2 linked regions of the Schizosaccharomyces pombe genome follow. The protein of the gene in region 1 binds, or shares a complex with, the protein of each later gene. Each region holds a gene or a part of one and is shown on either strand. Other genes may lie near its edges.

Evidence for each region.
Region 2: nuf2 (region 1) and mis13 share a complex: the UniProt entries of both Schizosaccharomyces pombe proteins name them as parts of the NMS super complex.

What each region holds. Positions count from the first base shown.
Region 1 is NC_003424.3:4,321,020-4,325,075, reverse strand, and holds nuf2 (protein Nuf2), read left to right. Parts: upstream 1-1,852; 5' UTR 1,853-1,868; coding exon 1,869-3,194; 3' UTR 3,195-3,556; downstream 3,557-4,056. Other genes in the region: SPOM_SPAC27F1.05C (aminotransferase), read left to right, coding at 1-1,424; ubiquitin hydrolase Uch1, read left to right, coding at 3,601-4,056. UniProt on the Schizosaccharomyces pombe protein: Acts as a component of the NMS (Ndc80-MIND-Spc7) super complex which has a role in kinetochore function during late meiotic prophase and throughout the mitotic cell cycle.
Region 2 is NC_003423.3:1,153,505-1,157,650, reverse strand, and holds mis13 (MIS12/MIND complex Mis13/Dsn1), read left to right. Parts: upstream 1-2,029; 5' UTR 2,030-2,049; coding exon 2,050-3,039; 3' UTR 3,040-3,347; downstream 3,348-4,146. Other genes in the region: ade7 (phosphoribosylaminoimidazolesuccinocarboxamide synthase), read right to left, coding at 1-533; SPOM_SPBC409.08 (spermine family transporter), read right to left, coding at 3,911-4,146. UniProt on the Schizosaccharomyces pombe protein: Acts as a component of the NMS (Ndc80-MIND-Spc7) super complex which has a role in kinetochore function during late meiotic prophase and throughout the mitotic cell cycle.

The sequences.
Region 1 (4,056 bases):
CCTCAAAGACGGTTGAACTTAACACAAATGGTTCAAAAACCGATGCCTCCTCCGAAAATGGAACAGCCAGCAATTATCCTGAGGGTTTGTGGTGCTTCGACGAAGCCATGAAAATGGACCCAGAAACGACTGTCAAGTTACAACTCGACCACTTAAACAAGTTACGCACTGTCCATGGCCACGCTCGCAATTTTGTGAAAGCTGATAATTCTCGTTTTGTTGATGAAAAGGGTACTGAGCATCTGGACTTAATTGGAGGCGTTGGAGTCGTAACGGTCGGTAACAACAATCAGTATGTTTGGGATTGCTTACAGAAATGCTTTGATGCCAAGTTATATATGATGGGTGCCATTTCCTATCGTAACCTTGCAGCTGCCTTTGGTCGCAATATGGCTTTGCTATCTCCTGGTCAAAAACTTACTCGCACATGGACTGCAACCGGTGGTGCTGAAGCTAATGAGGGAGTTATTAAATTGATTCGCCTTGCTACCCGTTATAAGCCTAACAAGAAAAAGTTTCTTTCTACTTTGAACTCTTTCCATGGTAAAACCACTGGTGCCGTCTTTTTAGGCGGCAAAGAAAAATGGCAAAAATATCAAAGTCCTGCTCCTTTCGACGTTGACTACGTCCCTTACGGTGATGCGGAAGCACTTCAAGTTGCCTTATCCTCTGGTATGTACCGTTCATTCATTGTTGAGCCTATTCAAGGCGAAGGTGGTGTTATTGTCCCTCCTCCAGGTTATCTTGCAAAGGCTCGTGAACTTTGCACTAAGTACGATACATATCTCGTTTTAGACGAAATTCAAACCGGTTGTGGTCGTACCGGTAAATTCTGGGCCTGTGAATACGAAAACATCATTCCGGATTGTATCGCTTTCGCCAAAGGATTTTCAGGCGGACTCATTCCATTTGCAGGGTATATCGCTACAGAGGAGCTTTGGAATGCTGCTTACAATTCCCTTGAAACGGCTTTTCTGCACACTGCCACTTATCAAGAAAACACTCTTGGACTTGCCGCCGGTGTTGCTACCATCGATTATATCGTGCAAAACGACCTTCTTTCTAGATGCCGCAAGTTAGGTGGTATCATGTTTGATCGTCTTAATAAACTTCAAACAAAATTCCCTCATGTTATGAAGGATGTTCGTGGTCGAGGAATGATAGTTGGTATTGAATTTTATCCCATTCCTGAGTCAGTTCAAGAAGAATTCGGCGAATACTATGCAACTCCTATTGTCAATGACCTTGCCGATACATATCACGTCCAAGTCTACTGTTCACTCAATAATCCTTCAGTTTTCCGCTTCCTTCCTCCTTTAACTATTCCAGAAGCCGACTTAGACGAAGGTTTGTCAGCCGTTGAATCTGCTGTTGCAAAGTTTGATGCTAAGGTTAAGGAAGCTGTTGCAGCCAAGTCAACCTAAAACTTTGGTTTCATCTATCATTAGCCCTTTCAGGCTTTTAGTAAAGTTGGGTCATCAGGCATAAATGTTAATTTTTTTATCTTCTTATCTAGTTTCAGCTTTTATATGCTCCTTATATTGTTTCTTGCTTACATGCAACGTTTGAGATAAACCATCGATTGTAAAATTATATAAACTATATAGAACTATTTTAAATCAAATCGTTCACTTTTTAAAAAAGATATATAAAACGGAGTTGTTAATTTACTATGTATGACAGAAGAAAAACTTATACGAAATTCAGCTTTGTTCTTGATTTTTTAAAAAGAATGAAAAATTGAATATCTAGAACATGCAACTAAATAAAAAATTTAAATTTTATTTTATTATATTTATAATTAAATTCACAATCAAAGCAGATTAAATACGTAAAATCCAGTTGTTCAGTTAACCATCAACTTTACCATGGCACGAAAACACACATTTCCTTCTTTGAAGCGTGCTGAGATTTTAGAATGCATAGATGGTCTTGGAATTCCATTCACGGCTAAAGAGCTTGACCAACCAACCTCGAAAGCCGTCATCCCTCTGTATGAAGAATTTCTTGACTTGTTTATGGGGTTGACCCGCCAGAATTTAGAAGAGAAGGTTAATTCGTTACAAGATTCTGTCGAGAATTTCGAGATAATACATGAGTCTTTAAGATTTACTGTTTTTTATCAGATTTTAAGTCAATTCATGCAAAACATCTGTTTTCATGACTTTACGATTCAAGACCTATTGAAACCAGACAGAAATCGACTACAACTAATTTTATCAGCAGTTATTAATTTTGCAAAACTCAGAGAAGAGAGGTTACAGCAATTTGATGATGATATACAGAAGCGAGAAAGCCTTCTGGAAACGTATACCCTTTTAGATGCACAACGAAAAGATTTAGAGGAAAAAGTTTTGTTAAGCCAAGATAGGAAATTGGAAAGTGAGGCAATTATTAAACAGAATGAAGAAAGAAACGAAGAAATGTTTCAGTCTTTGATAGAAGACAAACGATTGTGCTCTCAAGTTCGTACAGAATATGATCGCATTAGAATGGAGGCCTCAGAGTTAAAGATTAGGTATCACAACGTCGATTCATTAATGGCCAGTACTTTGGAAGAAATTGAAAAACTTCAGTCCTCTATTGTACATTCTCCTGAAAAGCTGAAAGGAAAGATAGCAGACACATCGTTACGGATACAAAATGATCGGTCGCAGCAAGTGGAACTGGATAAAAAGTCAAAAATTCTGCATACAAAATTGAACAGTTTACAGTTAATTGAAGGAGACTTGAATGCTTGTTTGAAAGTGCTTGAAGAATGTCTTGTAGAATTGGATAAACTGGAACATGCTACTGTGTTGCTTTCTACAAATCAAGAGCTTTGCGATCAAATAGAAATAAACAAAAAAAAACTTGAGTTCAGAAAAGAACAACTTTTAAAGCAATTATCTAATGCTCAAGAAAAACTCGAGCATGAACAACATTCTCGAAATCAAAAACTTGAGGCTGCCAAACAACGAATGGACAACATACGGGAAGAATACAAAGTAATTACCCAAGAAAGGAATAAAAAGATTCAGGAGACTGAAAAGAAAAATGCCATGATAGAGATGACCGAACAAAAAATTGCTGGAATGCGAGAAGAACTGGAGTCTCAAATATCCTCTATAACTATGGAATTCGAAAAATTGAAATCGCACGTGGAGCTTTATATTGCTGAACTTCTCAGAAACTTAAGGTCTTCTAACTCTTAGTATCTTCATTTTGAAAAATCTTTATTCGTGCAAATATTTCAACACTACCTATAAGAACGTTGGTTGGACTTCGAAGCCAGAATTTTAGATTTTACAGTAAATGTATATAGGTAAATCTTGGTAATTATTAATATTTTATGACTCTATTTATAATATACCTATGGAACAATCCCTATTTTTACAGTCATCTTCATAGCTGAACGTGACAGGATATTGAAGTATAGGATACTGATTATAGTAAAGCTTTTTTGTAGATTCCCAAAATTGGCAATCTAAAGATATTCGATTAACTTTGTCAAACTTTGGTGTTTTGCCTCTTTGCTGACTTCTGAGACCTCTGCCACGCCTTCCAAACCTGATCAAAAAAGCCTCAATTAGAGCCATTTATCATTCGAGAAAAATTACAATGTGGAGGCCTTTAGAAAATACACCAGAGGTGCTGGAACCTTACTTACAAAAAATCGGTGTACAAGATGCTAGCGTTTTTGACCTGTTTTCATTAGAGGAAATCCCCGAATATATCCCTCGTCCTGTCCATGCTCTTTTATTCGTTTTTCCATCCTCAGGAACAAAAACTATATATAAAGGATCACGAATTTTACCAAAGGATAGTGACAAAGTCTTGTGGTACCCTCAAACAATTCCAAATGCTTGCGGAACGATTGGATTGCTACATGCGGTTTCGAATGGAGAACTTAGAAGAAAAGTCAATGAAAATGATTTTATTAAAAGTCTAATCAGAACTGCTGAAGGTTCATCTATCGAAGAAAGGGCTAAGCTTATCGAGGATTCGAAAGAACTTGAAGCTTTACATGCAGCATTTGCTGGTCCACCTTTGGAAGTAGAGGGGTCTGAGGAAGAT
Region 2 (4,146 bases), on another chromosome or scaffold:
GGTCCAACAATTTTACTGACTTCATCAGGATGAATGTTTTCATCATGGCCTTCGGCAGCTTTGGTGCTGGGGGTGAAAAGGGGTTCAGGGAAGGCCTCTGCCTCTTTCATTCCTGTAGGTACGTTAAGGCCATGAACAGTCCCTTGCTTTTGATATTCCTTCCAAGCACTTCCAGTGATATAGCCACGAACAATAGCTTCGATAGGAAGAATCTTGTATTTCTTAACGAGCATGGATCTATCCTTTAACTCTTCATGCTTCGTGATAACAGGAGGTAATTCTTCCCACCTAGAAGTAATCAAATGAGTTTGGACATGAGGTTTTAAAACATCAAACCAAAATTCTGAAATTTTTGTCAAAACCTTTCCCTTCTCAGGGATGCCGTTCTCCATGATAAAATCATAGGCGCTTATTCTGTCTGTTGCTACGAACAAAAGATCATCGGGAAATTCTACACACTCATACAGGTCTCTGACTTTGCCGGTAGCAATTTTAGTGAATGGAGCATCCAACGAAGTTTTTAATAATGCCATTTGAAATGAACTTGATGTAGAAATGAAGGTTTAAACTATTCCACTTGAAGACAATTAGCTTTTGGTATAAAAATAACAAAGTATTTAAAGAAAATCCGTGTGATCTCTTTTCATTTCGTTTTAATATGCTTCTTCTGTATGAGGTCTATATAGTATAACATAGAACATCGATTAAAAATTTCAGAGAAACAAAAGCAATTACAATTATCAAAAAGGATACTATTACATAACATACCACTTAGAATTGGCTCCAAAAAACCCTGGTTTCAATGAATCCAGTTAACTCTAACTTTCGATGTAGTAGAAAGGAAAGATACAAGAGAGATGAGACAGATCGTCGTAGATCTTGGCAATACACTGAGACAGATTAAGAACAGATAATCAGTAAAGATTCTTTTCAATTATAAAGAATTTAAAAATTCCGAAATAAATTCGTATTTGAGGATGATGGCAACCTAAGTAAGTGCTCGAAAAGTAAGTTGTACAGGACATGCTGTGGTTATAAATTCCATGTTTAATTAAAATAAATAAAACAAATAAATTAATAATTATAATAAGAAAACTATTACTTCACTTAAGTTAAAAAGAGCTTTAAACACCGACTACTGTTGCCTTTTTGACTGCAGAATATTTTGAAACAACTTTATATAGGAAGTGTTTTAAGAGTAGGATAATTCAAACTTTTAATTCTTAAAACTATACTGGATCCTTAAAGTTCTGGCTTGTCTGCAAAGCCATGTAATCTAAAATTGGGTACTTTCTGTAAATAATATGCAGCGATTTAAAATCAACAATAACCAGCTAAGTCTGAAAATTACTACAATTTAGATTTTGTACATATAGAATACTCGAATATTTTTCATTATACTTATATTTGATTATTCATCTTATTTATCGTCGCTATATTTTTCAACAATTATGATAAAGTACAAGCTCAATCCTGGCAGCTCATGGACATCTTGACTATTTGTCAAAAACTGTAAACAGTTTTAATGGTAATAATATCCACATTTTGTAATTTGCATAACTTTTCAGCTTAGCATTTCATGTCGCATTCCTCAATTATATATATATATATATATATATATTACATAAACAGTAAACTTGATATAGTATAAGAAGAGGTCTTATGAATTTATAAGGGGAATTAACCAACCATTCAATGGATTATGTTAAAATTATTATTCTTATTATTTTACAGCAGAAAAAAGGATATATATTTTTGTTTTTGCAAGTTCGAAGATAATCTAGCAATTAAACAAATATTTTATACCAAGTTGTAACAAGTGTATCTCCAAAAAGAAAGGAATACTTAACAGTAAAAAAGAATTTAATCATTATTTATTTTTTTATTTATTCTCTACATGAATATACTTTGCTTTGATGAATTTTCAATGCTCAATTGTAAGGCCGACTTATAACGCGCTCGCTATACTTTGTTAGGTTACCTAGTGTAAACAATGAGTAAGGTAGTCTTTGCAATCCTGACTCGACTTGACCCTAACCAGCATCCATTATGAAACGAAAGCCTGAAGAGCAGGAAGGATTTGTATTCGTTAGGAAGGGTAAAGAAAAAGCTGGTTCTAAAAGAAGGAAATCATCTGTGGAGGATGATCCAGATACCTCCCAAACCGATGGGTTAGTTGAGCTACCCGTGTCTGATACACCAATTGTGAAGCGAAACAAAGAACTTCGCAAGGGTAAAGGAAGAAGGAGTAGTCTTGACCAACGGGGTAAGCGTGCTAGTAGCATTGGTACTGGATTTGAAGCTTTACCACATGCAGATGTTCCATCGCATGAATACTATCGCCATATATCCAAAGACTTATCCGAACCTTTACGTATCAAACAACTTCTCCTTTGGGCTTCTTCAAAGGCCTTAGAAGAGCAAAGAAAAAAATACGGTGAAACGGAGGAAGCCAGTGAGGCAGCTATTGCTAGATCAATAGTTCAAGAAGTTCTTAACGAATTATTGGCTAATAAAGTTAGTGTTAGTTGGTATCAAAGACCACCTGATGCTGTAATTCCTAATAAACCTCATCCTCAAAATCTCAAAAATGCTCAGCTAGTGGACGAACTGTCGGCAAAGCTTACCCAACTCCATAATGAAGAAGCTGCATGGCGGGCTGTTGCTGCTAATTCCGTCAGTTCAGATAAATCAATTTTATCTTTTAAAAAAGCTGTAGAATCCATAGATTCTAAACAAGACCTTGATAAACAGGACTCTCCATTACCCCCAGATGATGCACCAGAACTTCCTAATATAAGTAAGCTGAAACCAAAATTCCACACTCTCCTGGACATGCTTGCTGAAAATATTCATACCTTGCATTCTTTGACTAACGCTGGACCTGAAGTCCGATCATCATATGGTCGCCTTGCTGCCCAGGATTTCATAGCCCATCGTAAAAGTTTGTTGTCCTTCTCCAAATATGTGGATACTATGAATTTATTAAGGCTTTTATCAGAAGCTTCCTATAAATCTTCCTCAAACGAATCAGTTTAAAATTGGATTAATCTGATACTGTTATGCCCAAATTTTTACTTATTTTTACGTTAATTTTATGTCTTTTTGCGTGCCATTGCTGCTAATTAACTAATAATGAAGGTGTGCAAACCAGCTGGACTGTGTTTGAAAATTCATGTTATACGTTATTTCAAAGGAACTCCTATAGTAGTAGCGCGCACTCACATTACTATCTACACTCAATGTACGATACATAACTGCTACTATTCACCCAATATTTAGAATTTATCAAAGGTTTCATAGTTAATTAATTTGAAATATTTGAGAAATAAATAGCTTTATCTCTAAAGTCTATATTCTATAATTAAATTTTAAAAAGCGAGAGCAGACATCGTCGCAGGTTTCGAAACATGTAACGTGTAATTAACAATAGCTTTATGATAACCAGAATACACGTGGTAAATTCCGTCATAATAGTAACGTAAAACTTTCAAACACAAAACCGCATACATGAAATTAAAAAAAAACCACGATTTCTATGAAGCTTGGACATTATTTAAATATTAAGGCAGCTTCTCAAACGCAACGGTGCACCAATATTGGAGACAAATTCAAGAAATCCCAAACCCAAACTGAAACTGTGGGGACATGAGCTAAAGAATTTTAAAAAATTTTAGCAATGGATAGGTGGAAGCATGCTTAAGGAACATATCTAAGTTCACTTATGGAATGATCCCTGAGGCGAAAAAAGCAAAGCAGCAAATTCTGACCGCTTTACGAAGCCAAGATTGTTGGCATATCTTTTAAAAAAGTGGGATAGCCAACTGAAATAATAGAGGCTTTAAATTCCTTGCATGTACACAACGCAAACCAAATGCATAACGAAAAAAAAGACACAAAACAAGCTGTTTTAAACAATAGCGGCCTTGGATCTAGCCCGAATCTTATCACCAAACAAGTAAAAGGTGAAAGGAATGGGAATAGCGGCAACGGCAACCATACCCAACAAAAAGAAGGCCCATTGACGAGTCATACCATCCATCATATAATCAATGAAAAGAGGGAAAGCGGCACCACCTGCGGAACGAACCATTGTTTTAGCAGCCAATGCTGACGCACAGTAATTTTGATATACATCGATAAGAT